4 linked regions of the Stegostoma tigrinum genome follow. The protein of the gene in region 3 purifies or fractionates together with the protein of the main gene of each other region. This does not show direct contact. Links are inferred from orthologs where the notes say so. Each region holds a gene or a part of one and is shown on either strand. Other genes may lie near its edges. The genes, in order: rnps1, ddx5, SRSF protein kinase 1-like and putative RNA-binding protein Luc7-like 2.

Region 1 (7,345 bases), on a different chromosome or scaffold from region 3:
ATTTTTCATGCTGCCTTGCTTTTTATGAATTTGTTCATTATCTTAAATCATTCGCTTCTAATTCGCACATACACTATTAACAGGTAAGTTTCTAAATGCTCTGTCCTGTGTCTACTCTTTCCCTTCCTGATTTTGAGCATTGCTACTGAATGTCTTCTCAATTTTCTCTCATGAAAATAGCCCCAATCTATCTTCTCCAATGTAACTTCTCCATGTAACTGAAGGTCCTCATTCCTGGAACTATGTTTATGGACCTTTCAAAACTCTCTCTATTGCCATCAAATGGTTCCTAAAATGTATTGCCCAGAATACACAATATTCAAATTGAGGGCAAATCAGAGTTTTATGACAGTTCATCAAAACTTCCCTATGTACTCTATACAGTCCAAGATCCTGTATACCTTTTCAAATTACTTTTTCAACCTGCCCTGCCACCCTCAATGACTTATAGATATATACGCAGTTCTGTTTCTGCTCCCCCTTACATTATACCCTTTATTTTCTGTGGCCTCTCCTCATTCTTCTTACTAAGATACTTTCCACTTGCCTGCAATAAATTTCATATTCCACATGTCTGTTCACTCCAATGTCCAATTTTGTGATATCTATAAATTTTGAAATTATGCTCTGTGCCCCCAACTATTCTAGTTATTAATACAGTCAAGAAAAGCAATGGTCCTAACAATGACTCTCCTAGAGAACCCACTGTGTAAGCTCCAATTCCACGATCATCTCACTAAGCCAACTTTGCACCCAAGCTGCTGCTGTTAACTATACTCCATGGCCTTCAACTCTGCTGACATGCCTATTTTGTAACACTTTACCAAACATATTAAAGTCAATGCATGCCATAGCAAATGCAATATTCTCTAACTATCCATCACCTCATCAAAATAATTTAAACATGATATGCCTTTAACATATCTCTGTTGATTTTAATTAATTAACTTTTTCAAGTTACTCAGTTTTTCAAAGATTATTATTTTTAAAAAGCTTCCCCAACACTGAGGTTAAAATGACTGGCCTGCAATTGCTGAGTTCATGCTTACAAGATTTTTCTACAAGAGTCAAACACTGGCATTTCTCCAGTGCCATGCCATCACCTCTGAAAGCAGTTTAGAAGATTATGACCTGCACTTCCACAAATTTTGGCCTGACTTCCCCCAGTATACTTGGATACATCTCCTCCAGTCTTGGTGACTTAGCAACTTTAAAGACCGCCAGGTTTTGTCAATTTTTGGCCCATTCATCATCTCACCCACCTCCATTTAGAAATATAAAAATACACAAAAATAGGAGCAAAGATAGGCCATTCAGCCCTTTGAGCCTGCTTTGCCATTCGTTATGACAAGATGGCTGATGACTTTCACAGAATTTTCTTCAGTAACGACCAGTGCAAAGTACTTACATAGCACCTCATGTCGATACATAAATCTCTCTTTTGGTCTCAAAATGGGAATAGTCTTGTTTTATCATCCTTTCACTATTTAAATAGTTTTGGGTGGTCTTTAACGATAGCTGCCAGTCTCTTCCCATTCCTTCTGTTTCCTTTTTCATTTCCCCTCTGACCTTTCCAAAGCAGCTGATTCTCACTTGTATTATCAACATGACATTTGTCACACATCTCTTCTACTGTTTTATATTCCTGCCTTCATCATTGTCAGGCTTTAATATGCCAACAAGCTTGTTGGCTGGTCTCCCAATTTATCCTTCACAAACTTTTTATCATCCAAAACTATGCTGCTCATTTCTTAACTGGCAGCAAGTCACTCCTGTGTTCATTGAAATTCAGTTGCTCCCAGTCAAGCAACATCTTAATTTTAACTTTTAAACATTTTGGGAAAGTGTCTAGTGATGATCATGATCCATCATCAGTTGTCAGACAAACCCATCTGGTTCACTAATGTCCTTGAGGGAAGGAAACTGACATCCTTATCTTGTCAGGCAGATGTGGTTGACTTCACTGCCCTCTGGGCAATTAGGGATGGGCAGTAAATGCTGGCCTAGCCAGCAACACACTCATCCTGTGATGAATTTTAAAAACCCTCATTTTCAAATCCTTCCAAGTCATTAGCCCTTCCACCTTTGTAATCTCTTTGACCAAGATTTTGATCATTTTACTTAATATTTCCTTACATAACTCTATGGTCATATTTAGTTTTAGAATACTCCTATGAGGCACTTTCAGACCTCATTATGGTAAAGATACTACACCAAGTAGACATCAATCTTTTCTCTATTTGATTAGACAGTATTTTGTTTATCCTATTATTCCATCAGAGGAATCTACTTCCAACAACTGTACCTCAAGTACATTATCTTCAACAGCTGCCCAGAGTTTAATCACAGTATATGATTCTAATTTATCCAGAACTGGCCCACCTCATTAAGTTTTTTTTATTTTGGTTTGTTCTTTGTCCTTTTCCATCGTTAATCTAATATTTACAATGTTACATTCACTAATTCCTTAAATAATCTCCTACTGACAGGACCCAACTTGTTCAAGGTGAGGTATTGGGAGTATTCATGGGTGTGTGGAAGGTGTCCCAGTAACCACCTCAGTAAGAGGGGAAAGACAGGAAACAGCTTGAGTATGGCAGGTAGGCTTGTTAGCGGGACAACCCCGGGGTCAGGTGTCAACAACAGGCCCAGGGATATAGCAGAATTTCCCGGTCAACCCCCTCCCCACTAATCAATAAGATTCGCTCCACTAGGCCTCGGGCTCCGTTCTACACCGAGATTCCAACTGTACAAAGGGCTATTCATCCTTATAAAGCCGTCACAGTGCAGTGAACACAGTCCACCCCGAACGCGAGAAGCCAACTGTCGCTGCAGTCAGGCGGCCCCTGGCCCCGATGGACATGGATTCCCGTCCACTCACATTCCGCTCTCGATCCGCTCTCGCTCGCCGCTGCCTGGGCCGCAAAACCGTCCCGCTCAACCCGCGTCACCCGTCGCACGCTGCGTCATGACACAAACATTTGCGATACTGGTGAGCACCACCGGGGGGAGTGAGAGAGCACGCTGCACTGTCGTTGGGTCGGGATATGCGCTGAACCCGGCGTAGGAGGGCACTCAGAGATAATGGAAACTGCAGATGCTGGAGAATCCAAGACAATAAAATGTGAGGCTGGATGAACACAGCAGGCCAAGCAGCATCTCAGGAGCACAAAAGCTGACGTTTCGGGCCTAGACCCTTCATCAGAGAGGGGGATGGGGTGAGGGTTCTGCAATAAATAGGGAGAGAGGGGGAGGCGGACCCAAGATGGAGAGAAAAGAAGATAGGTGGAGAGGAGAGTATAGGTGGGGAGGTAGGGAGGGGATAGGTCAGTCCAGGGAAGACGGACAGGTCAAGGAGGTGGGATGAGGTTAGTAGGTAGAAGATGGGGGTGCAGCTTGGGGTGGGAGGAAGGGATGGGTGAGAGGAAGAACAGGTTAGGGAGGCAGAGACAGGTTGGACTGGTTTTGGGATGCAGTGGGTGGAGGGGAAGAGCTGGGCTGGTTGTGTGGTGCAGTGGGGGGAGGGGACGAACTGGGCTGGTTTAGGGATGCGGTGGGGGAAGGGGAGATTTTGAAGCAGGTGAAGTCCACATTGATACCATTGGGCTGCAGGGTTCCCAGGCGGAATATGAGTTGCTGTTCCTGCAACTTTCGGGTGGCATCATTGTGGCAGTGCAGGAGGCCCATGATGGACATGTCATCAAGAGAATGGGAGGGGGAGTGGAAATGGTTTGCGACTGGGAGGTGCAGTTGTTTGTTGCGAACTGAGCGGAGGTGTTCTGCAAAGCGGTCTCCAAGCCTCCGCTTGGTTTCCCCAATGTAGAGGAAGCCACACCGGGTACAGTGGATGCAGTATACCACATTGGCAGATGTGCAGGTGAACCTCTGCTTAATGTGGAATGTCATCTTGGGGCCTGGGATAGGGATGAGGGAGGAGGTGTGGGGGCAAGTGTAGCATTTCCTGCGGTTGCAGGGGAAGGTGCCGGGTGTGGTGGGGTTGGAGGTCAGGGTGGAGCGAACAAGGGAGTCACGGAGAGAGTGGTCTCTCCGGAAAGCAGACAGGGGTGGGGATGGAAAAATGTAGGAGGGCACGCTCCTGATTGTCTTCCAAAAATGTTGTGAAATCCATCCCAGAGGGCAAACGAGGGTCTCAATTTAATCTTTTTTTAAAGAAAACGGAAGACCTGCAGTTGGTGTAAATCAGAAACTTGCAAAGATTTGTAGCTCGGGCTGGGAGCTTGCCCAGTGTATGTACACGTTTTGTCACCGTGCTAGGTAACATATCAGTTCCTTCAATCAAGCGGTGTTGTTCTACTCCATTTGGTATCTCACACAAGATCATCATTGAATCCCTACAGTGTGGAAGCTGGCCATTCAGCCCAACAAATCCATACCACCCCTCCAAAGAGCATTCCCACCCAGACCCATTCCCCGATCCCTGCATTTTTCATATCTAACCCACGTAACCTAAACATGCCAGGGCATGATAAGGAATGTAACATGGCCAATACACCTCCCCTGCACATCTTTGGACAGTGGGAGGAAACCGGAGCACCTGGAGGAAACCCACACAGACACAGGGAGAATGTACAAACTCCACAAACTCAGTCACCCAAGGCTGGAATCAAACCCAGGTCCCTGGTGTTCAGAGGCAGCAGTGCTAACCACTGAGCCACTGTACCATCCAGTCTATTAAGTTGGGTTGTGTTATTTCTGGCTCTGTTCTGCGTGGGTTTGTATATGGGGTCTAATTCCACATGTTTGTTAATTGCTTTAAGGGTAAAATACTTGGTCCCTCGGAATTCCCGTGCATGTCTGCGGTTGGCTTGAACCAGGATGGTCACCTCACTCCATCCACTCAACCCTTTACCTCAAGAACATTAAAATCAATGATGACGGGATTATGGTATCCTTTGATGTCACAGCACTATTCATGTCCATTGACGTACCACATTACTGGATACAGCAGGAACACTGAACTTCAAACAGCTCCTTCAGCAAGGACAACATACTCAGACCGCTGGACCTATGCGTCACCACACACTTGATCTTTAATGGCCAAATATACAAACAAATCAATTGTAAACCTGTGGGGTCGCCCATCTCAGGACTTATTGCAGGGGCAGTCAATACAAGGTCTGGAACACACTAACCCCCACTCCTGCCGCCTGACAGTCAAAACTGTGGACCAGATACATGGACGACACGTTTGTCATCATTAAACGCACCAAGTTAGAAGCGACACACGATCTCATTAACAACATTTTCACTGGGATCAAATTTACAGGAGAAGAGGAAGACAACAATCAATTTCCATTTCTCGACATGAGGGTAGAACAAGTGACCAATGGGGAGTTCCAAACCACAGTATACAGGAAGGCAGCCCACACTGACCAAATCCTCAATTTCCACAGCAATCACCCCAAACAAATCTAGGACACTATTCAAATGGGCCACGAACCAATGCAACATGCCAGAACTACGCAGGAAGTAGGAACAGCGCCTATACAAGGTCTTTTGCTAACAACAGATATTCCAACAACTTCACCCACAGGTGCCCACTAGATTGGCAGTGCCAAGAGGACACAATACACCCCAATACACTGGCCACACTACTCTATATCAAGAAGATGTAAGAACTGCTGAGACTCCTATGACCACTAGGAATCACGGTAGCAATCACTTGACCCAAAACATTAACTGTGATTTCTTGTGATCAATTTAACTGGGACAACATGGCCATCCTAGCTCAAGCCAACCACAGGCATGCACAGGAATTCCTAGAGGCCTGTTTTTCAACCCGTAATGCAATTAACAAACTTATGGAATTAGACCCCATATACAAGTCCATGCAGAACAAAACCGGAAATGACACAACCCACCTCAACAGACCAAATTATATAAATACCCAGCAGGGTAGAACAACATCGCTTCATCGCAGGCCACATTGTTGATGTTACCTAGCATGGTCACGAAATGTCTGTATCATAGCCAACCAGCTCCGCAAGCAAGTCACCAACCTCAAAAACAAAAATTGCTGGAAAAGCTCAGCAGGTCTGGCAGCAGCTGTTGAACAGAAATCGGAGTTCTTAGGAAGGGTCACTTGACCCAAAACATTAACTGTGATTTCTCTCCACAGGTGCTGCCAGACCTCCAGAGCTTTTCCAGCAATTTCTGTTTTTGTTTTTGGGTATCAATTTAAAGTTTCCCCTGAAAATATCACTTCCAACAGTATAGCACCACCTTCAGGACTGCACAGAGTGTCAATCCAAATTATGTGCCCGAGACATTGGGCTTGAACACTTATGGTATTACAGAAATGGCATATTTGTTGTGAAAAATACAAGCAAGCCTTTGAATTGGGGGATTTTTGGAAACCATCAAATGACGATCAAAACGCAATGAGAAAATATTTGGCTTGTAAAAGTCTCAAGGAAGCAAATTCATTCTCAAGAGGAATGACGGATTGAATAAATATTTTGTCTAACTTACCTTCAGAACACTCAAATTATACCTCAAAGCTAGAGATTAACCAAGGAGCTAATAAGAATCAGACATTTTGAATAATTCATGTTTGCAGCAGAAATTATTAAAGAAATTTGAGGAATTAAAACTTGACAAATCTCCAGAACCTGATGGCTTACATTTGTGGGGAGCTAGGGTGGCTGCAGAGATAGCAGATGCCCTAGTTTTGATTTTAAAGTCCTGTAGATTCCACAAGGTCTCAGTGGTTTGAGTTAACAGATTAGTAAATGTAACACTGCTATTCAAGAAAGGAGGGAAGAGAAAATAAGAATTACAAGCCCAACATAAATTGTCATGAATATGGTAGAATTTATTGTTGAGGACATCTTAACAATGCACTTTGATATACTTTGATTCCCCAAACTGTATTCAATAAGGTGCATCACAAATGATCATTTAAATGCTAAGGATTAATGGAGTTGGCATGAATACATTACCATGAATAGAAAATTTGCTAATAGACAGAAAACAAATATAGAAATAAACAGCTGTAACCACAGGAATGGCACAAGGAACAGATAAGGGTTTCAACTATTTATAATCTATATTGATCATAGAAAGAGAGACTTATTGGATTCTACACGATTAGAATTGTTAAGTAGCTGAAAGTGAGGTGAGCAGCACAGGAGTTAGAGTGCATTATTTCCCCCTTCAACTCCATTTTAGTTTAGTTTCTCCCCCCCTCCCATTTATTATTGTTGCACTGCTCCTGGTGTAGTACTTGTTAAATTGTTCTTTTAATTTGTAACATGGATGACTTGGTGGTGGTTAAAAAAGATTGTCCATAGGATGTGTGGTAGATTCTTTGACAGAAAAAAAA
Region 2 (7,116 bases), on a different chromosome or scaffold from region 3:
ATGTTGTGTCATTGTTTAATAAAGGCTGTAAGGAGATGGCAGGAAACTATAGACTTGCAAGTCTAACATCAGCGGTAAGTATGTTGAGGTGATTCTGAAAGGTCGGATTTTCATGCATTTGGAGACACAGAATTGATTAGGGATGGTTTTACATAGAGAAAATAGTGTATCACAAACGTGGCTAGTAAGTTGTAAATGACACTAAAATTGGTAGCAGAATAGCCAATGAAAAGAAAGTTATCTAAGATTTCAAAGATCTTGACCAAATGAATCAATGGGCTGATGAGTGGCAAACAGTTTAATTTGGATAAATGTGGGGTTTTGCATTTATACAAGGACAGGACATATAGAATTAACAGTAGGGCCCTGGGTAGTGTTGTAGAACAGATGTAGGGGTTCAGGTACCTAATTCTTTGAAATTCACATCACATGTAGACATTGTTCACACATTCTGAGGAAGGATCATTGGACCCAAAATGTTAACTGATATTTACTACACAGATGCTGCCAGACCTGCTGAGCTTTTACAGCAGGTTCTGTTTTTGTTAGATGTAGACAGGTTGGTTAAGTCAGTTAGCACGTTTGCCTTCATTGCTCAGGCTTCCGAGTAAAGGAGTTGGCTATCATGTTTAGATTGTGCAGGATGTTGAGGCCTCTTTTGGAGTACTGTATACAGTTCTGACCATCATGCCAAAGCAAGGATAATTATTAAACTAGAGAGCAAGAGTTCATAAAAGTTAGAAAACTATCCTTCCTGAGTTCATGTTTAGGAAAGATCAGGCAGGTGGACTAGTTCAGTTTGGTAGCACGGTCAGTGTGGACTAAATAGTCCATTTCCCTGCTGTACAACTGACTTATAATAGAAGCACAGCTTTGCCTCTAATTTAAACTGTATAGTCACAGAAGATGTTCTAATGCACTTGTATTCCATACTTACTTGGAAAACTTGCTTCGACAAAGTTGAAAACTGGTTTAGGGCATGCAAGTCCTTTTACTGTGATTTCTTTGCTTCTTCTATATTGTTCAATTTCTTGCTGCAATCAACAACAGCATCAAATCCAATTTAACATTTGTGTAAAAAAGTGCAATCCATAAATCTAGCCCCAACCCTAGTCAATTAGGGAGTGTTCCAACCATAAAATAAAACCTAAAAAAGTCAGAAACAAAAGCAGAGATTGCAGAAAAAGCTTCCTTCAGTCTGAAGGAGGGTCACCAGACCCAATACATCACCTCTTATTTCTCTCCATTGGTGTTGCCAGACCTACAGAATTTCAGGTAATTTCTGCTTTTGTTTCCAGTGTCATCCTTCACAGTAGAGATCCCACAGTAATCAATTTACAGTTTAAGATACATAACTGGTGAATATGTATCCAAAAATAGGAAAACTGAAAGCTTTAAAAACCTCCATAGACACAAAAGCTCAGATGTACTAATCAGCCCAAGTTCAACTGATTGAAACAAGTACAAGAACCACTGATTAATACTTCCTCATTGAAAAGGCTAAAAAAGGTATACGTCTGTAATTTTCCCTTGTCTGTTAGAAGATGTCCACCAGGGGGATACCAAACATTAGCTGAAAATACACTAAAAATTTACTGTTATCTGTTCAGCAGTTATGTATATTTCAGTGGGCGGGCAGAGATCGCCCTTTAGTGACTAATAGGAATGAATCACCGGCTCACTCAAGAATAACCCCATCAGCTACAAACGTCAGCCCAACATCCTCCACCACCTTTGCCAAGTCAAAGCACATTGTTTCCCTTTAGAGTCTCCCTTAAATGAAAGGATTACCATTTTGTCCGGCACTAACAGTATTTAGTTTTACGAGTATATCTCACGACTACATGGAATTATAATAAAGGTTTAGGGGTAGAGGGGAGGAAAAAAAAAGCCAGCCAGTCCTACCACAGGTCGGTTCATCACATCTACGTGCTCGACGTAGAAGTTCTTCTCGAATTTGGGCAGCTCGTCCAGGTCCCATTTTCTTTTCCTCAGCTTCTCCCCCGGCTGCCCGAATTTCCTGCCGGGCGGAGGCGCGTTCCTGCTACCACCGAAGCGAGGTCCACCCGAACCGAACCTGGAATGTAATATTTTTACAGGAAAAAAAATTACGCTTTTCAAACAAAAGAGAGAAAGACAGACGATAGCAGACGTGTATCTGAAAAAAAAACAGGCTATCGACGCAAGACCGTAAGGTAGCTCCAACATCCACGATCAGCTTTACCCACCCCCGAAAAACAGCATCTCCCGGCCATTTTAGCTACAATACAAGGAAGAAACCTGTAACACGAGGTCAAACAGAGCATCGAAATATACAAATAAACAAAAACAGACTACGGCAAGACCAAAATAAAAATGGCAAAGCGGAAGAATGTTTAATTGGTTAGAACCCCCTCCCAAAAAATTGAAGTTCCTTAAGGAATTTGCTTTTTTTTTAAAAAAAATGCCAAATCACGCTCCGCACACCAGCCAGGATTTTGCCTAAGCGGACCGCGTGGCGGTGGCTTCTTCTCATCCTCCAGAACGGAACCGGCTTTTCTTTTCCAAAAAAAAATTGAAGATTAAAAAAAAACTGAAGGTGCGTTTTTCGAAAGAGGGGGAAAAAAAAATCACAAACTCACCCGCCACGCTCCCGACTCCGATCACCTCTATCGTAACCAGGCATCGCGGAAAAAGTGGAGGACAGGACTGCAAACGAGATACTTGACGCTCGATATGGAGCTGACTGTGGGAAAGGGAGGAAGCCGGTTGAAAGCCGAAACTAAAATGCCGGTTCCTTGTCCGCCTTTAGTCAAAGCCGGCAAGGGGGAGCCCGGAACTCATTCCGCATATCCCTCCGCAATTCAAATCTACGTAGCTACTTCTTGACCCAAATATTTCCGGACCCCTTTGTCACTTCAACACCCTCATATCGTTATCCCACTGTTCAAGAATCGAGCTGTTCCAGCTTTCTGGCGGCAGGGAAGACTTTAAACGAAACTTCATCGCCCATCTTCGAATGACAGGGCCTACTTTGCCTCGCTGACGATTACAAATGAGCGAGGAGGGGAGCTCTCTCTTCCCCATGGCGACAGGGTGACGTCAATGAAACGACACTGAGGGTAGGAAGCAAACGAAAAGGACGATGATTAAATAATAAAATATTCACATGAACGCTGCCGGTGACAGGTGGGGGGAGTGTGTATTTGTGTTTTTTTATAAGTGATAATAAAAAGGCGAGGGGCGGCGCTTGGAGTAATGACATTTTCCGCGGGTGGGCGGTTGGTGACGTCATGCCCAGAGCCAATGGGCGGCTGGAGACGTTTTAAATGTACAAGGGTCCGGGGCTATGGCAGTGGACTGACAACAAACTGATTAATTGTAACTCCGACTCGACTGAGCTATTTGGTGTTTCTTACTTTATATTTGTTGTGCGTCCAGTCGAAGGAGAAAGAATTTCTATTCCGTACCGCTGGCGATGGAGGAGCAGGACGAGAGAGGTCGGTCGCAGTCGAATCGGCTTCAATTGTAGGCCAGCAGCCGCGCTGACAACTTTCCCAACAAACTTTCCCAGTGTTTTAGTGTTTTGATTTTTTTAAAATCAAGTCTACTGCCACGTCTTTTAACTGTCACTTTTTTTGTCTGAAATGATTTGAGTTATGTCAAGCAAGAAATTATCTTATTTCTAGCTCCCCCTCCCCATATATAACGATGTATTTAGTTATAGTCTACTTTTACACTAGGAAAACCATTCGTTTCATATACTGTAATATGAAATATTTGCGTGTGGTGGTCATTATAAATCGAACTCGAGCTTCCTGACCCAACCAACAGTGTCAAGGCAACCAGAAGCTTGTTTAGAGGCGTCTGTTATCGGTTAAAGTAAATATCGGGCAGGTCCTCGTCAAGCATGTTTTTAATTAAAACAAAAGATGCTGGAGAGACAGCGGTCTGGCAGCGTCTCTGCAAAGGGAACCAGTTAACATTTCGAGTCCAGTGACCCTAATGCTATTTGTTAATACGATTGCCAGTCCAACACTAAATTACAGTTCAGTTATTCTTTATACAATACTTTCCTATTAATACCAGTTCTTGCAGCGCCTCATATCTCTTTCCAACCAGTCACCCTAACCCCCGAGATTTAATGCACTTGGACGAATTGGTATAATGTCCGAAACAACTTTTTACTTAGAGGGAGTTGAGGCTAGTAGTAGCCTTTTAAAAGGAATCGATTGGTTTTACTCCCTCTCGCCTTCGCCTCAGATGAGTGTGGTACTGCGCCTTCCGTTTTGGTTGTGGCGTAACATATTCTAGCCAAGCTCTGTTTCCCAGGGTTCTTTCAATTGCTCCCATTACTGCTCTTCCATCCTTGCGAAGATTTCTACCCGAAACGTCAGCTGCCCTGTTCCTCTGATGCAGCCTGGCCTGCTGTGTTCCAGCTCCACACTTTGTTATCTTTGACTCCAACATCTGCAGTTCTTGCTATCTCAGTAAATTCATATGTGTTAGCTTTTGTAATTGCAAATTCAAGAACACTACAGTCAATGATTATTTTTAAGTGGAATGTTGGATGAATGTAGAGTAGATGGTTAGGATCTGCTTCAAGACCAATCATTAGTAATGTCTTCTATAAGATATAGGAGAAAAATTCGACCACTTGGCCCATTGAGTCTGTTCCACCATTCAATTATGGCTGAAAAGTTTCTTAACCCCATTCTCCTGCCTTCTCCCTGTAATCCTTGTTCACTGTACTGATTAAGAGGCTATCTACCTCGATCTTAAAATGTACTCAATGATTTGGCCTCCACTGTCTTCAGCAGCAATGAGTTCTGCACATTAACCACCCTCTGGCTGATAAAATTTCCCTTGCACATTCTGTACTGTTCTTGTGGGATTTTGAGCCCTCCTGATAGACCATAAGCTTTTTTTTATTCAATCCTATATATTCCTTGGTCTCCAGGGTTCATAGAATGTGTTGGTCCCACTTTTTGTCATTATTGGAACATGTTGGCTGTGTATTCTCCCTAATTTTTTTCCATTACTCTAATGTAGAACAGATGGACAAGAAAACACCAGTTGTCAGGCCAGAGCATGTGGTTTCCCCAATAAAATAATGTGTAAACTTGCTCCTGAAAAGCATTGTAGGACTACCTACACCAAATAGATTGCAGCAGTTCAGCTTGGTAGCTGGCTAGTACCTTCAAAGGATAACGAAGGATGGGCATTAATTCTGGCTTGACAAGTGATGCCCACGTCTCATGAATAAGTGCAAAAGTCACACTAACCAGCAAACATGCTCTCTGATTTTTACCATCAAGTCTGTTGTCAAATTGTGTATACGTTTGAAGCCAGTTGATAAGCTCTTCTAAAGTGGATGTGTCCAGTTGGTATTAAATATACCCATCAGGATGTTACAAAATGTAAAGATTAAACAAGTCACTTGATTCTTAAGCTTTGTTTAGCTTTAAGCAGGTATAATTACATAACCATTTTAGGCAGACAGTAAAGTTCATTAATTCATCGTTACTGCAAATAAAGGCTGCTTTCTGACTACCAAAGGGCATCTACATTTGGAACAGTGCTCACAAATCTAGTTGAAGCACTAGAGGAAATTTAGCAATCCAAGATCACTGGGATTTTAACTAAGTTTTAATGTTTACCCATTTATGTACTAGAGTGTAGATGATGCTCAATTTTATGTCAGATCTAGATGTGCAAGGAGATAGAATAATTTGATTTACAAATAGATTCTTTTGAAATTGCAGTGTTGAGCAGCTAGGCAGGATAAATGCTTAATGCATGCTTGCATGTGGAAAAATTATTTGTTAATTGAAAAACAGCTGGCATCCTACAGCATAATTTAGTTAGGTCTTCATTTTGATGTATTTATTTTTATGTAGCCAATGTTTCATGGCAGTCATACACTTTTCAATACGTGAGACATGAGGCGTAGTAATATATCACTAGCTTACAAAGTATAATCCAGCATTATTACCCAGTTTTATGCCTTGTCACTAGAATTTCTATAAAGTACCTGCATCCATGGACCAAAACACTACCATATCTTTGGTGTCTTCTAATTGGAGGTACACTTCTTTGCACTGCGTGCTGTGCACAACCTGCCAAAGCATTTCATGTGGCCTGACATTTGCTTTACTGGCAGCTGCAAACAGCCTCAGGCATGGAAGCTGTGCTAGTGGTTTCACAGGCCATGTTGGGGAATATAAGGCTTTCAAGGAGATTTTGGCTTGAAGGGCATGTGCCGCAACACAGGGAGAAGGCAGTGGGAGTTTGATTGTGTAGAGGAACAATGTCAGGTTGTGATGGCAGGAGGGTTTAATAGGATTGATAGTTAGGTTGCTGTGTCATTCCTATTAATTTGTCTTTTCCCAAAAATATTGCACATTGATTTAGCTTTTTGCTCTCCTGATTTGTATTACTGCATCCTTTTTTTTCGCCTGTTCGGTCAAGATACTGAGATTCCAATTGATGCTCTAATTAGTTTGAACCCTGTGCTTGTACGCACATGATAGAAGAATAGGAATCCTTACTCAGAAATCTGTTTTATCAGATTATATCAAAGTATCCTGGGGGAGAGGCTGTTGCAGTGGAGAGGAATGAAAAACAAATTGCACACTTTCTATTTCAGTGTAAAATGTTTAATAGGATAACGATTACGGAAATTTTTGAATTACAAACTCCCATGGATTTTTTTTGAAGTAAATGTGTGCAACGAATGACAAAGAGAGGATGTATGGAGGATGGGGAAGGGATGAGAGAAAGGGGGAAAAGGGGTGAGTACAGGAGAAGGAAAAGATGGAGGGAAAGCAGGACGAGAAGAGCAAATCTAATGCTGAAAGTCACCTTTCAACTTCCATTTTCTTGTCAGTTCTACCTAGGTCTGCTCAGTGTGTGCCTCACCCAGTGCTTGGTCCCAGCCAGCACCACCACCCCAGTGATCAAGAATTGGGGCTGATTTTTTTCTCTCTCTCTCGTTCTCTCCTCTCCGGACCTCTACATCTTATTGTTTGGCAAAATTTGGCTTTATTAATGAGTTTTGTCATTTTGTATTTTTAATGGTGATTTTTTTATTAACTAAATTATCAACTTATTGCCTTTGAATTTTTTGAAGCTTAA
Region 3 (7,777 bases):
AATTTCCTGAAATCCACTGTCTATAATAGTCATAAAGCAACAGATTTAAAATGACAGATTAAAATACAGCAGTTATTGGTGCCAATTAAATCTTCAGTTATAAGTGAAAACACTTCAATGCATTTTGCGAAATCACTGAAGTAGCAAGACACTTTCATTTCCATGAGTAATTCCTTTGAATTTACTCTAAGGACAGTGTATCAGCTCAAGCTGAAAACTGGATTTTTTTTTAAAACTATCACCCAACTTGGTCTGCTCACTGACATATTTGGTTGGAAAAGTCCTTGGAGCCATTTCCACTTCAATAAAGTGCAACAGGACCTTTACTTACATGCACAAGCTGACATTCTGCTCCACTTCCAGTAAAGTTATGCCAATGGATTTGGAGCATCTCGGAAGAATTTCCTGGGTTATTTTGCAACATTTCTACTTCTTATAAAACTGCCCCTTGTATTCTTTATTATAAAAAAGATATTGTCAGTCTACATGCCCAACCTAAACAACCCAAAAATTGCTAAGATCCATAAGTCAATATGGATTCTGCCTAGAGGTTGACAGATTTGATGTATTCTGCTCATTCTGGAGAAACACTAGAAAACTGTTGCAATCACAAGTATAAAATATTTAGAACCATGCTTAGAAGAGTTTAATCTCCTGCAACTGTACTAGCTCTGTCAGACTAATTGAAGAGAAATCTTCATTTCAACAGTTTATCCAATTTTCCTTGAAGAGGCAAATTATTCAACTATTCACGACAAAGGATTTTACACTGATAACCCATTTTCTTAGGGTATTTTAACTGATAACCTCGCTATGAAGATTTCCACCTCAAAGAGAATGTTTTTGTTTCTCAGTATATTGGAATGTTTTCATTAGATTTATTCCTGTATTTCTTTGTACTTAAAGTAGTATTTGTTCTGTATTCTACTGCTGCCCAAAATATGAAGTGATATTGCCTTCAGATCACCACACAAATACACTGAAGCAAAAATGGTAACACAGGAGTATTCATTCTGAATTTTTTCTGGTATTTGATCTTTTTTATAAACAGCCAAACAAGGGGGAAAAACCTTTACATAGCCCTTTATATTGCACATACCCACCATTACAGCAGTTCAACATTACCAATCCAGGAGGCCAGATACAGCTTGAGGAACTAAACAAGGTGGAATTAAAAGTCAAAATCCAATGGGATTTATTTTGCTGGAAGTAGGGCAGAAAGCCTGTTTCTGCATGCAAAAAGTTTCCTGCTGCACTTCACAGAAGTGGAAAGGGCTTAAGTTCCACAGCTGCTAAGTGCTCATCATAACCACATTGAATCGAAGTAACTGAGGTTATGAACTGACAAGGAACAGTAAGTTATCTTTCAACAATACATCAAGACATATCTATCAAGACATTCTATCAGTATTCCAATTAATAACAAGCCTTTTTTACATCCAGTTTCAAAAGCCCTTTAAGAAAATGGATCCGTTAAAGCTGCTTTGTGATGTAACTCACATTATGATCCCACATCACAGAAGCAAATTGTTTTCATGGTTACCAAGCTGCAAAATGATCGTGAACAGATTTCAAAAGCAATACCCTGAAAGATCAGAGTGCAGTTACCTAACTGACTGGACAATCATAACCTATAGAGCTAGCCTGTCAAAAACAGATTTGCTTCAGCTAACACTATATGACCAAACACAGCGTGCTAAATCCTAATGCACCAATAATTTTGAATTCTATACCATTAACAATCTCTGGCCTACCTTATTAGCTGTAGAAAGTTTGGTCTAGATCTGAATCATCTGCAGACTTAACTTTTTCGATGTTCTCTTGGTCAACATCAGGAATAGCATCCTTCACCAAAATCCCTTACTGTAAAAAGCCTGCTCAAGACCACCTAACCAATGGTCAACCATCTTTCTATAAGATCACCTCATCATACTTGAAGACATCATTGCCACTTTACAATTCTACTCAACCTGTTAATTGGTTTTCCTAGATATCTCAACCTCAACCTCATGACTCCAGTCAATATGAGGCCATTTCAAATATACCCTCTGGAAGCTTCAAAACACCCTCAACAACTTTGACGGCGCAGTGGCAAACACGTCTTCAAACAACAGAAACCAGAGACTTGACTGTAGAAAGTAGAACGAAACAGAAGAGGTTTATTTAAATCACAGCCTCAACCACCTCACTTCTCAAAAAACTCATGTCCTCTCTGTGGCTTCAGCAAAAATTAAAATATTGAACAACTCAACTACAGGAAAAAGAACGAGAATTAATCGCAAAGTTTGTGCAGATTGCAACAACTCAATCCACGTTTATGTATCACTTTTTTGTCAATGGAACGTAATAAAACTTTCAAAGTAAAAAAAAAGTCAATCGCCTTGCGTGGATGAAAGGCTCTTTGTGGGCTGCACACGGCTTTAAAAAAAACACTCTCCAACCCTGTACCCCAAGCCACCAACCCCCATCCAGCCAACTACCATCCATCCATCCACACAGTAGATCCCAAACCAGACGCTGCAACAGCAACAAAATCAAGAACCGACCAGATGGTCGCAATGGGGAAAGGTGTGTGGCGGATGGGGGGGGGGGGGGGGGGGGGCAGGAGAAATAGGTGAGGGTCTAGAATCAGCCCACAAGGCCCGGGCCGCAGCGTAAGCCTCGGCCTGGCGCTGCCAGCAGGCGGGCGACAGAGTGCGAGCAGCCCCGGCTCCGAAACCATCCCCACTCACTTCTTCAGAATCTTCTCCTTTTTGATTCGGCTTCGCTTCTTGCGCGCTTGCAGAGCCAGAACTGGGGGGGGGGAAAAATCCGAAAGAGAAGGAAGAAGGTTAGAGCGGTAATTGAGGGTATACAAAACGGATGTTTGTGACTACACCACCCCACCGGTAAGGCCAAGCCGGCTGAAAGGCTCCCTCACCTTTTCGGGAGCTCATGTTGGAACCGGTCCCCACACAATCACCAGCGCGCAAGCGCAAACCCACTGCTTTTTCTAACTATCGTTCTCTTATCCCGCCCCTCCTCCCCACCCGGAACCACCCACCAACTACTGTTCCGACCTCTGACCGCCAGGTGGGGTGGGGGCCCGTTCCCCGGCTGCTGTTCCGACCTCCGACCGCGAGGTGGTGGGCAAACCTCCTGTTAGCACTGCCGTCAGTCGACGTTAGTTGAGGCGCTTGATATTTTTGGTTCTTCGTGTCCAAGTTTTTGGAGTGTCCTTACTTAAATCTGCAAATTCTCTTATCATTAGAGTAATTTCTGGAAATATTCAGTAGTTCAGGCGGTATTGGACTTTGTGGAATGATAGGTGCAGTAATAATATAGTTCCAAAATTGGTTGAATGACGCGGGGGGGAGAGTAATGCTTAATGGATTTTCTCCCCATCAGGCAAAGGCTTGGGATGGAATCAGTGTTGGGCCCTTTCCTTTTTGTGATGTACGTTAATGACATAGACTATGCTGTGAAGGGTATGATTTCAATATTTGCAAATCATACAAAACTTGGAAGCATTGTAAACTAGGGAGAGTAGTGTAGCACTTTCGAGAGGGATATAGACAGGGATATGTTGAATGGGCAGGTAGGTGGCAAATTCAAAATACAGGTGTAAGCAATGCATTTTTGAAGGAAGATCTGGAGAGACAACTTGAAGTAAAGGGTGCAACTCTAAAACAGTGGAAGACATGAGTAATATCCGGACAATTAAGGAGAGTCAGGGGTAGCATTGAGTATGGTAGGCATTACAAAAGAGAAAGTGCTAGAAAAGCTAGAAGGTCTAAAAATTGATAAATCTCCTGGCCCCGATGGGCTACATCCTAGAGTTCTGAGGGAGGTGGCTGAGGAAATAGTGGAGGCATTGGTTGTGATCTTTCAAAAGTCACTGGAGTCATGGATCGTCCCAGATGATTGGAAAGTTTCTGTTGTAACCCCCTTGTTTTAGAAAGGATCAAGACAAAAGATGGAAAATCATAGGCCGATTAGCCTAACCTCGATTGTTGGTAAAATTCAAGAATCCATCATTAAGGATGAGATTTCTACATTCTTGAAAGTGCAGGGCCGGATTAGAACAAGTCAGCATGGATTTAGTAAGGGGAGGTCGTGTCTGACAAACCTGTTAGAATTCTTTGAAGAGGTAACAAGTAGGTTAGACCAGGGAAACCCAGTGGATGTTATCTATCTAGACTTCCAAAAGACCTATGACAAGGTGCCTCACAGGAGGCTGCTGAGCAAGGTGAGGGCTCATGGTGTTCGAGGTGAGCTGATGGCATGGATTGAGGATTGGCTGTCTGACAGAAGGCAGAGATTAGGGATAAAAGGCTCTTTTTCGGAATGGCAACCAATGACAAGTGGTGTCCCGCAGGGTTCAGTGTTGGGGCCGCAGCTGTTCACTTTATTTATTAATGATCTGGATGAAGGGACTGGGGGCATTCTGGCAAAGTTTGCCGATGATACGAAGTTAGGTGGACAAGCAGGTAGTACTGAGGAGGTGGGGAGGCTGCAGAAAGAGTTAAGACAGTTTAGGAGAGTGGTCCAGGAAATGGCTGATGAAATTCAATGTGAGCAAATGCGAGGTCTTGCACTTTGGAAAAATGAATACAGGCATGGACAATTTTCTAAACGTTGAGAAAATTCATAAAGCTGAAGTACAAAGGAATCTGGGAATGCTGGTCCAGGATTTTCTAAAGGTTAACTTGCAGGTTGATGATTAAGAAAGTGAATGTAATGTTGTCGTTTATCTCAAGCGGTTTGGAATATAAAAGCGACGATGTGCTTCTGAGACCTTATAAAGCTCTAATTAGGCCCCATTTAGAATACTGTGTCTAATTTTGGGCCACACTGGAGAGTGTCCAGGAGAGATTCACACGGATGATCCCTAGTATGGTAGGCCTAACATACAATGAACGGCTGAGGATCCTGGGATTGTATCCATTAGAGTTTAGAAGGTTGAGGAGAAATCTAATAGAAACTTACAAGATAATGCATGGCTTAGAAAGGGTGGACGCTGGGAAGTTGTTTCTGTTACGCGGGGAGACTAGGAGCCGTGGGCACAGGCTTAGAATTAGAGGGGGTCAATTTAGAATGGAAATGAGACATTTCTTCAGCCAGAGATTGGTGGGCCTGTGGAATTCATTGCCACGGAGCGCAGTGGAGGCTGGGATGTTACGTGTCTTCAAGGCAGAGATTGATAAGTTCTTGATCTCGCAAGGAATTAAGAGTTACGGTTAGAGTATGAATAGGTGGAGCTGAAATGCCCATCAGTCATGATTAAATGGTGGAGTGGATTCGATGGGCCAACTGGCCTTACTTCCACTCCTATGTCTTATGCTCTTATGGTCTTAAAATGAGTGCAGAAGCAGAGGAACTTGGTTGTGTATGTTTTTAGTCACAAAGGGTGACCAGCTATTAAAACACACCTTTTATTTTAATCGGGGAAATAGAGTAAAGACAGGTAGGATATGCTAAACTTACATTCAGTCTCAGCTTAAGTACCATGTCTGTTTTGGGCACATAACTCACAAAATAGGCATTCACAATGAAGGCATTCGCGGAACTATAGATTATGTTTATGGGAGTTATTCCAGGAATGAGGAATTCCAGTTATGAAGATAGATGGGAGACATTGGGACTGCTTTCCTTGGAGAGGAGAAGACTGAGAGGAGATCTGAATGAAGTACTTAAGATGATGACAGCACTGGACAAAGTAAATTAGTAGAAAATGTTTCCACTCATGAAAGATTGGAGAACAAGAAGGCACGTAATTAAACTAATTAGTAAAAGAAGTAAAAGTGATATAAGTCAAGCAATGAGTAGTTAAGATCCAGAATGCACTGTCTGGAGAGTGATGGAGACAGGTTCAATTTAGATGTTTAAAAGCAAATTAGACAGAACAATGAAAAGGAACAATGTGTAGGATTTTGGTGAGAATGCAGAGAAATGACTCTAAATCAAATGCTCTCTTAGAGACCCAGTGCAGGAATGAATGGCTTCGTTCTACTCAGTAACAACTCTGTAATACTGTGGAAATAAAAACAGTTAATGTTTCAGATAAATGGTTTTGCACCAGAGCTGGGAAAAGACACCACCATCCTCTTGGCCTTCCCTTCATCGTAATATCAGAAATGAGGATGACTGCTGCTCATTGCACAATGTTCTGTATCATTTGTGACTCCTCAGATAGTGAAACAGTCCATGTCCAGATGCAGCAAGATGTGGACAACATTCAGGCTTAGGCTGACAAGTGGCAAGTAATATTTGCACTGTACAAGTTACAGGCTATAAGATATGGAGCAGAAGTAGCCCAGTTAACACATCAAGCCTGCTCCACCATTCATTGAGATCAAAACTGATCTGATAATCCTCAATTCCACTGTCCTTTTCCTTAACTCTTGATTTCCTTCCTGATTAAAAATCTATCTTCCTCTTGACTATACCTAACAACCCAGCCTCAACAGCCCTCCGCAATAAATAATTACACAGATTTGCAAGCCTCAGAGAGAAGAAATTCCTTGTCATCTCTGTTTTAAACATGTGACCCCTTATGAGAATATGCATTTTGGTCCTAGACTCTTGCACAAGGAGAAACAGCCTGTCCTATCAAGTCCCTTAAGATCAGTCTGTGTACTGATTTCTATCCCTATGGCAGGAATGAATCTATCCCACTGGCATAAATTCATTAATTAATCCATACATGTACCACAATCTGTTTACTCTCCTGACATCTGCAACATATGACATGGGGGAATCCCTGAACCTCTTCCAATGACATCTCAGTCGTACTGCCTTCATACAACTCGAAGACGCTGGAAAACTATAACTTAACATTCGCCTTTATTTCCCAACCTATATTAAATACAGATTCACCTCTAACCTTCTCTGTAAGTTCACAGCAGTGTTTTTGTCCGTGTGTTTGTCACTTTTCGTTATTTCTTTGATGTACTAAAACACTACTGTCCTTCACTCAAGAAACCACTAGAATTGGCTCTCCATTTTAAATCTGGGTTAACTAAGTTGATTGAAGTGTCATGGCTAGATGCTAAAAGAGAAGCAAAACAAAAATATATTTCTTGTGTACTTGTATATTTGTTGTGATTGACTGAAAGGAGGCCAAGAAAGGGAGAAGCTATGACCCCCTTAACTTGAGCAATAAAGTCTCTTGCCATTCTTGCAACATCACAGTGGAATTATCTCATGGCCATCAACTTTGGCTATCACTTCATCATTTCTTTTGCCCTCATCTACCTCTGTCCCTTCTTCATTTTCTGTGTTAACATATTCCTTGTCTGACCTCCAGTCTTGGATGAGCAATTATCTCTTCCAGCTATCAAGTTATCAAATTTGGCCCTGTCACAAACTCCATATCCATGACACCGACTTCATTCTCCTCCCTGGCTGTTGGTTTAAGTTGAAACAAACTGTTCAAGACCTTGGCAACCTGTTCAGTCCCTTCAGAGTTTCCAATTATATATCCTATCCTTCACAAAAAGCACTGTCAGTCTCCTTCTGATTACCTCTGACCTATTTGGCACATTCGCTTATATTATTTTTGTCACTTCTGCACACAACTCTTCTGGATAACTATGTGTCCTTCAAACTCCATAAAGTCAAGTTTATTCGGAGCTATGCTGCCTGCATCCTAAGGTGAAACTACTTAATCCCCAGCCTATCTTGCTGACTGATTCCACCCATGCCTCAAATTTAAGATTATGATCTTTACATTTAGGATTGGCCGTCATTTTGCCCTTTCCTTGCTGTATAACCTTTACTTGCTGAAAATCTATCC
Region 4 (7,280 bases), on a different chromosome or scaffold from region 3:
TGCACGAGGCAATACCAAGATAGCTACATGCAATTATTTATTAAGCCATGACAAATTAACTAGCCTTTGGGTGGTTTTAACTCGCAGGACCAGTAGAATATTGGCCAAGTTACATTTACCTTGAAAGGTTAGCCTGGCATGACATACACCTGAGCGTGCCAATCATTAAGTGCATTTGTCAAACATTTTTTAACAGAGCAATTGGCTTAAAGAATTCTTATTCCACATGAAAAATTTCTAAATACAGAGAAAAAAGATTGTGGATCCAACCATTAAATTCTACCATACCTTGCTTTAATAATAAACTTCAACAAAATAAACTTACAGCATTATTGACTTCAGTCAATTAGCTGAGCTGTACAACATGGCAGGAATTGCATACCAAGAAAACGTGCTATAAAGACTCAACAGGTGTTACAGCATCGGTAAAAAGAAAGTTATTGTTTCACGTCTAGATGAAACTTCTGATGAAAAGTCAGTTCAACCTGAAACGTGAACTGTTTCTCTCTCCACAGCTGCAACTGACCTCAGTATGCCCAGCACTACTTGCTTTTATTTTAGATTTCCAGCATCCGGAGTATCTTGCCTTTGAACAGGACTTGCTTAGGCTTTATTGTTTGGGCTAATTTGGATTACAAGAGTTAGATGTACTTTTCAGGATCAGACTCATCTTGTGAGTGGAAATCCCTATTAAAAAATGAATACGAAAATTTCCATCGCTTACCAGCAAACAAACCTAAAGATCCCAAAACCTGCATCTTGTGATGCAACGAATTTCAAACGAAGTTTTCAAAGAAAACTTACTTGTTTTTCTCATTTTAGTGCACTTTTGACAAACAAATGTATTTTTAGGACATCTCCATATTCCCTCTGTGAATTAGGTAAAATGATTAATCAAAACAGCAGTTATCCCTAATCAGAAATTAGTATAGTTCTAGAATACAATTTACTTCTCATTACATTCTCAAGTAATGTTACTTGGGAATTATCAGATTGTCTTCACTAGTGACAGACAAATGGAGTTATGGTGACTTTAAAAGAGGGACTCTCACCACTTCAGTTGTATGTGTGTTAATTTAGTTCCCTCATACCGTTGGTAACTCCTCTCCAAGCCATTTACCCCCGATGTCTTCAGCACTCACTGTTTAAACAAAGATTTAGAAAGACAAAAGAAATATAGAAAAAAATCAAAGGGTTATCAAATGCTGGACCTAATCCTTGCTAACTGGTTGCTTTCTAAATTTTTTTTGGCCCTAATGATGCAATAGAGACTTTATGATTGTTCATACACGGAGTATGATCCATAGCGTTGCAGAAAGATACAGATCAAGATCAGAAATTAAAAAAACCTTCGCCCAAGTCAGATATTTCATCAGTGCATGGGATTTGAAGTCATATTGATCACCTAAGAATGATTTCAAAGACAATGGTGATGACTGTACCAGTTAAACAAGAAGGCTGTAAGTACTGTATGAATCTTGTCATTGATAACAACCATGAAACTACATAAAGGTACTTTGGACACAATGCATGTGTTTAATGACTCTTGAGGGGAGGAGACCAAGCAAAGAATGGAACAGTCCAACTGCTGGTCCCTAGAGACTTCTCCTTTGAACATTAACACATTTGCACATTGTGTTTTTTACTCTGTAATGACCCAAAAAACTAGGAACAGAGTAGCAGCAACTTACAGCCAGCATATCATGTGTCACAGGTGTATGATAAAGTTTATTTGCGAGATGCAAAAAAAAAGTGGAAGCTTTATTATAGATGAAACCACTTGGAAACATGAACTAAAATGGGAATTGCAAAAGAGAGATATTAACTTGTAAATCAAAAGAAAATTACTCTACCACACAACTCCAGAAATAATTCCAGATTTTGTCTTCCCAAACTTCTTTCATAATCTCCCTTGATCTTGAATTTGTAAATGCATGCCCTACATGACTACGTGATCAAGGAGGAGTGATGAACCAGATCAATGGAAGCTGCCCCTTGTGAAGGTATAATTCCCGACAGAGAGAAAGGCAAAGAACTGACTCAAAAACAGAAATTACTTGCAAAACTCAGGCTGCGTGACTGCATTGGTGGGAGGAAAACAGTTAATGCTTCATGCCCGGAAACTTTTCATCTGCTTTCCTCCTACAGATGCTGTCAAACCTGCTGAGTGTTGCCAGCAATTTTGTGTCTTTGTTTCAAATTTATGTCAACGGCAGTTCTTTATTTCATTTTAAAGACCTGACTCACCCACCTCAGGAACCATCACCTGAGGCATCCCCAAGTCTCCATGACCCACCCAACACCATAGCCTCAGACACCAATTGGCTGACCCCTGCCCCATCAATGACCATTTAGGCGCCGAATCGTGCCCCCCGCCAGGCCCCTCCTTCCTCCATGCATTGGCCGTTTACCAGCGCGCACGTCCCCATTGGCGTAGACTGCCGGCACTGCAGGTAAAGGCCGCCACCCATTGGACAAGTCCACAGTCACTCCGGCAAGACGCCGCCACCCATTGGCCGAGTCGCGCCCGTCATGCACGTGGGGCGGGGCACCAGGGCGGAGCCAGGGGGACTCTCGGCTGCTTTCCACCATATTGGCCGGATTCTTCACAGCGGACATGTTTACTGCGATTCAACAAGGAAACATTCGGTTTTCAACAGTAGTAAGGATAAATGTTTGCCATTAACGCGCTTACCGTCCCTGGACGTCCCCATGAGCTGGTCGAGCATAGCTCGCATTTGGGCCTGTGCCGACATTTTTTTTCCTCTGGCTTTTACAGGATCCGCCGCACAATTTTTTTTAAAGCCGGGAAAAAAACAGATACCGCTAGCTACTAAAGTGGTCCGATTTGCTGCAGATTTTTTTGTTTCCTTTTAAAACGTCCAAAGCTACTGGTTTGCATCGAGGTTTATTTTATTTTTCCGCCTCTTGTTTTGGCTCCAGCTCTGCGCCCTCGTCTCGAGCCGCTCGGCCGGAACTGACGTCACGGCCAACGGCCCCGGCTCGTGACGGGGACGCCACCAAGTTCAAAAATTGCATGGGGAGGGGAGGGGACCAGGCAAATAATGGAACAGTCCGACTGTTGCAACTGCTGGTTCCTAGACACTTCTCCTTTTGGACTTTGTGTATTTTACTCTGTAACGACCCAAAATTCTTGCAAGTGGCATCTTCCTCCTCTTTGGGACGGGGGAGGGGGCGAGAGCGAGAGACCAGTTAAAGGGGCAAGCTCATTGGAATTAATGATTGGTGAACAAAATAAATTCCAAAATCTTCCTACCCCATCATTTCTGGTAACAGCTAACCCAACTGGCAGGAAACCTTATGTTGGAAATGGTTGGCAATGAGTTTACCATGATCCACCAGCTTCCTTGTCAGAGCTTCTCTGCTCTGCTTGTTCTTTTTCCTTTTCTTTCCCCTTTGTTATCTTCTCTCCTCTCGGCATCGGAGCTGGCAGCAAGTCCAGAGCTGCAAGTCCTGTAGCCGTGCACGGGCTGCGAGCTCCAGAGCAGCGCGGGGAAGAGCCCCACAGCAGCATATAGGGAAGTAGCCCTGGAGCATGGCACAGGCAGTGAGTCGCAGGGGCCAGTGGTACATGCGGGAGATGGCAGCCTGAGAGCAACACAAGGGCTGAGGTACAGCATGACTCACCTTGTTGCTGCTGAGTGCCGGTGAGGAGTGGACTGGAGGCTGGAGTGATGCAGGACAATTGCTGGATTTGGGCCTGGCGGCATGTGCTGAGCTTCTGTTATTGGACTGTAATTTAAAACCTTATCACTTTGTGTTAGCTACATCTGCAAGTAATGCTTATACTTTCCTTTAATGCTGTTTGGATAAGAACACTTTTTTTCAACTCTGTAAGATTTGTACCCAGGTACTTGTATGGAAGATGACGCCGTTAAAAGGCAGTCATTGGAAAAAGTTTCCACTGTGCTCCTATACCTCTGTATTGTAGTACAAGTGACCATAATGGATTTTCTTTATTGTACATTCCCCACAGATGCTACATGGTGATGTGATTAAATCTTTGCTGTACATTTGTCCCCATTATATGTTTGAATGCAACAATATCCAATTTCGGTTGTCAAGGGGCAAGTAATCATCATGCCACAAATGCCAGGTACTGCCCATCTCCAATAAGAGATGATGTAGCAACTGCCCCTCTGTCAATAAATAGCATTAGCAGCACTGAATCCGCCACACTCATCCTGCTAGGGGTTGCCATTGATAATAAACTCAGCGACGATAAGAGCTGGTCGGAGTATAGGAATGTTGTGGCAAGTAACTCACCTCCTGACTCCCCAAAGCCTGTCCACCATCTACAAGGCACAAGTCAGGAGTGTGATGGAATACTCCCACCAGCTGGATGAGTGCAGCTGCAATAACATTCAAGATGCCTGATACCAGCCAGGACAAAGCAGCCTTGCTTGATTGGCACCACGTTCACAATCATCCATTCTGCTCACCACTGATACCTAGTAGCAGCAACGTGTTCTATCTGCAAGATGCAATGCAGAAATCCACCAAAAATCTGTAGGCAGCACCTTGCAAACCCACAACCACTTCCATGTAGAAGGACAAGGACAGCAGATATAGGGAACACCACTCCATCACCTACAAGTTCCTCTCCAAGCCACTCATCATCCTGACTTGGAAATATATTGCCATACCTTTAATGTTGCTGGGTCAAAATCCTGGCATTCCCTCTCTAAGGGCATTGTGGGTCTACCTAAGCACATGGACTACAATAATTGAAGAAAGCAGTTCACCACCACTTTCTTGAGGGCAACTAGGGACAAGCAATAAATCCAGGGCATCCAACAATGTCCATGTCCCATGAATGAAATGAGATCTAACGGCCATGTTTTTTAATGGCACAGTTAGTGAAATTTTATAGATTGCTGCCTCAGCACTAACCACTAGTATGAAGAACTTCTAAATTGCCTAAGGGAATAATGATGAAGGCGGCCAAGCGGGAAAGAAAGCAGACAAAAATCAGTAATGCTTCAAAATAAATACTCTGGTCTCGCTGCAACTCCATTTTGGAATATATGAGATGTCAGGTTAGTATATGTCATTTTCCTTCTAGGACTCAGGTCATTGGGATCGAGATGAGGAGAAAGGTAAAAGATGACGTCCACAGAGTGCGTGTAGGACAGAAATGAAGGGAAAGTGTAAAAGTGAAAAGAGAGGGAGCAGAAGGATGAAGCGAGTCCACAGAATTCGTAGAATCCCTGCAGTGTGGAAACAGGCCTTTTGGCCCAACAAGTCTACACTGACCCTTGGAGCATCCCACCCAGACCCATCCCCCCAATCTACACATCCCTAAACTCTATGGGAAATTTAGCATGGCCAATCCACTTAACCTGCACATATGTTTGGACTGTGGGAGGAAACCCACAGACATGGGAAGAATGTGCAAACTCTACACAGACAGTCACCCGAGGATGGAATACGAACCTGGGTCCCAGGACTGTGAGGCAGCGGTGCTAACCACTGAGATACCGTGTATGAGAGAATAGCAAGTGAAAGACAAGATGAGGAGGTGGAACCACAGATGCAAAAGATGAATGGTGTAGCAAGGGGAGAATGCAAGCGTGGAGTAAGAAAAGACAGCAAATGTGTGCAACAGCATGAGTGGTTGGCATGGATGAGTTGGACTGAATGGTTTCTTTCTATGCTGTACATTTCTGTAACTGTATGAGTGGGAAGATGATAGATGGGCAGGAGCTGGGAGAGGCTGACTGTGGATTGAAGAGAATGGGGTGGCAGAGTGAGAACAGGAAGTGTGAGGGTTAGAGGAGAAAGAAACAGTGAGATGAGCAGAAGGGAGAAAGGCTGTCAACAGGATTTAAAGGTGTAACAGAGGGAAGGAGGATGGGGGAAAGGAGATACAGAGTGATGGGAGAGGGAAGGAATAAAAGTTGGGAGTGAGGTGACACGATAAATAAATAGGATGGCATGTCAATCATGTTGAGTGATATTTGTAGATCCTGTATTGACAGGAATTTTCCCAATTTATTTCCACAGTTCTTATTACATTTTTTCTGGAACAAGCCAATTTCCAGAGCCTGGGAAATGTTTATAAACTAAACTAGAGTGTCAGATCCTACAATTCCATCTCTCTGTCTATGTCTTTGCTGTTTGGCACTTGGTTTCATTGGTCATTTGGCTATAGGGAGCCAGGAACCAATGATAATTGAAGGTTATTTGCTATTTAACCTTAGTTTATTGAGATGCAATCTGTTTCAACATTTTATTACAAAACACTACAGATGCTGGAAATCTGTAACAAAAATAGAACTTGCTGTAAACATTTATCAGGTCAACCCAGTTTTAGTTCTGTAACTTTCCTGTATCAGGTCACAGACCTGAATCTTTAACCTGGTGTGAACTTCCAGCATTTTTTTACTTTCATGTTACGTTAATCCAGCGTTTGCTGGAGTGAGTGCATCACTGACTGATTTGAATGACAAGGAAATGAAAATTGACGTAGATGCTGCCTTATTGTTACATTCAATGGCTGAGTACTGCAGCACCATTTTAGTTAGAAAGGAAATTTCACAGGATTACATTTTGGTGCAGCATTACTATAATTTACAGAAAAAAGATATTGACTGCTACATATGTCGTCATCTGAAGGTATAATAAAGGCAGGATCAGAACTATAGTAACTACCCAATAATCTCAAACTGCATACCCAGATTAGGGAAGGGATTATTCTGCGATGATATGGGAAACTAGTGTTGTGAGCTCTTTAACCTTGAGACCATGCTGAGGGGTGGCCTTCCAGAGGTTTACAGAAGCATGAGGGGCATGAATAGGGTAAATAACCAAGAACCTTTGCCAGGGTGGGGGGGATCCAAAACGAGAGGGCATAGGTTTAAGGTGAGAGGGGAAAGATTTAAAACTGAGGGCGGTGCGTGTATGGAATGAGCTGCCAGAGGAAGTGGTGGGGGCGGGTACAATTACAACATTTAAAAAGCACCTGGATGGGTACATGAATAGGAAGGGTTTATAGATATGGTTCAAATGCTGGCAAATGGAATGAGATCAGTTTGGGATATCTGGCTGACATGAATGAGTTGAGCAGAAGGGTCTGTGTCCATGCTGTTTAACTCTATGACACTGTAAGATAAAACAGGAAAACCCTTTATAATAGAAGGCAGAGAGCTCACTTTTGTTTTGTTTGCTCGGCCTCATTTTAAAAAAAAATAATTTTGAATCACAGAGATGTGCAGCATGGAGACCCTTAGGTCTAACTCATCCACACCATCTAGATA

The links.
Region 1: the proteins of SRSF protein kinase 1-like (region 3) and rnps1 purify together in Homo sapiens (co-immunoprecipitation; 5 studies listed by BioGRID and IntAct, counting the BioPlex papers as one, with this or other methods). This does not show direct contact. The link is inferred for Stegostoma tigrinum from reciprocal best matches to the Homo sapiens genes SRPK1 and RNPS1.
Region 2: the proteins of SRSF protein kinase 1-like (region 3) and ddx5 purify together in Homo sapiens (affinity purification with mass spectrometry; 3 studies listed by BioGRID and IntAct, with this or other methods). This does not show direct contact. The link is inferred for Stegostoma tigrinum from reciprocal best matches to the Homo sapiens genes SRPK1 and DDX5.
Region 4: the proteins of SRSF protein kinase 1-like (region 3) and putative RNA-binding protein Luc7-like 2 purify together in Homo sapiens (affinity purification with mass spectrometry; 3 studies listed by BioGRID and IntAct, counting the BioPlex papers as one, with this or other methods). This does not show direct contact. The link is inferred for Stegostoma tigrinum from reciprocal best matches to the Homo sapiens genes SRPK1 and LUC7L2.

Annotation. Positions count from the first base shown.
Region 1 is NC_081376.1:32,312,539-32,319,883, forward strand, and holds the start of rnps1 (RNA-binding protein with serine-rich domain 1), read right to left. Parts: upstream 3,017-7,345; 5' UTR 2,884-3,016; coding exon 2,882-2,883; intron 1-2,881. UniProt on the Homo sapiens protein: Part of pre- and post-splicing multiprotein mRNP complexes. Auxiliary component of the splicing-dependent multiprotein exon junction complex (EJC) deposited at splice junction on mRNAs.
Region 2 is NC_081375.1:10,865,616-10,872,731, reverse strand, and holds the start of ddx5 (probable ATP-dependent RNA helicase DDX5), read right to left. Parts: upstream 3,009-7,116; 5' UTR 2,666-3,008; coding exon 2,622-2,665; intron 2,078-2,621; coding exon 1,906-2,077; intron 1,035-1,905; coding exon 938-1,034; intron 1-937. Other genes in the region: trichohyalin-like, read left to right, coding at 3,309-3,507. UniProt on the Homo sapiens protein: Involved in the alternative regulation of pre-mRNA splicing; its RNA helicase activity is necessary for increasing tau exon 10 inclusion and occurs in a RBM4-dependent manner. Binds to the tau pre-mRNA in the stem-loop region downstream of exon 10.
Region 3 is NC_081374.1:21,669,230-21,677,006, forward strand, and holds the start of SRSF protein kinase 1-like, read right to left. Parts: upstream 3,016-7,777; 5' UTR 2,937-3,015; coding exon 2,921-2,936; intron 2,794-2,920; coding exon 2,733-2,793; intron 1-2,732. UniProt on the Homo sapiens protein: Serine/arginine-rich protein-specific kinase which specifically phosphorylates its substrates at serine residues located in regions rich in arginine/serine dipeptides, known as RS domains and is involved in the phosphorylation of SR splicing factors and the regulation of splicing.
Region 4 is NC_081391.1:3,031,272-3,038,551, reverse strand, and holds the start of putative RNA-binding protein Luc7-like 2, read right to left. Parts: upstream 3,006-7,280; 5' UTR 2,757-3,005; coding exon 2,696-2,756; intron 1,142-2,695; exon of another isoform or gene 1,053-1,141; intron 1-1,052. UniProt on the Homo sapiens protein: May bind to RNA via its Arg/Ser-rich domain.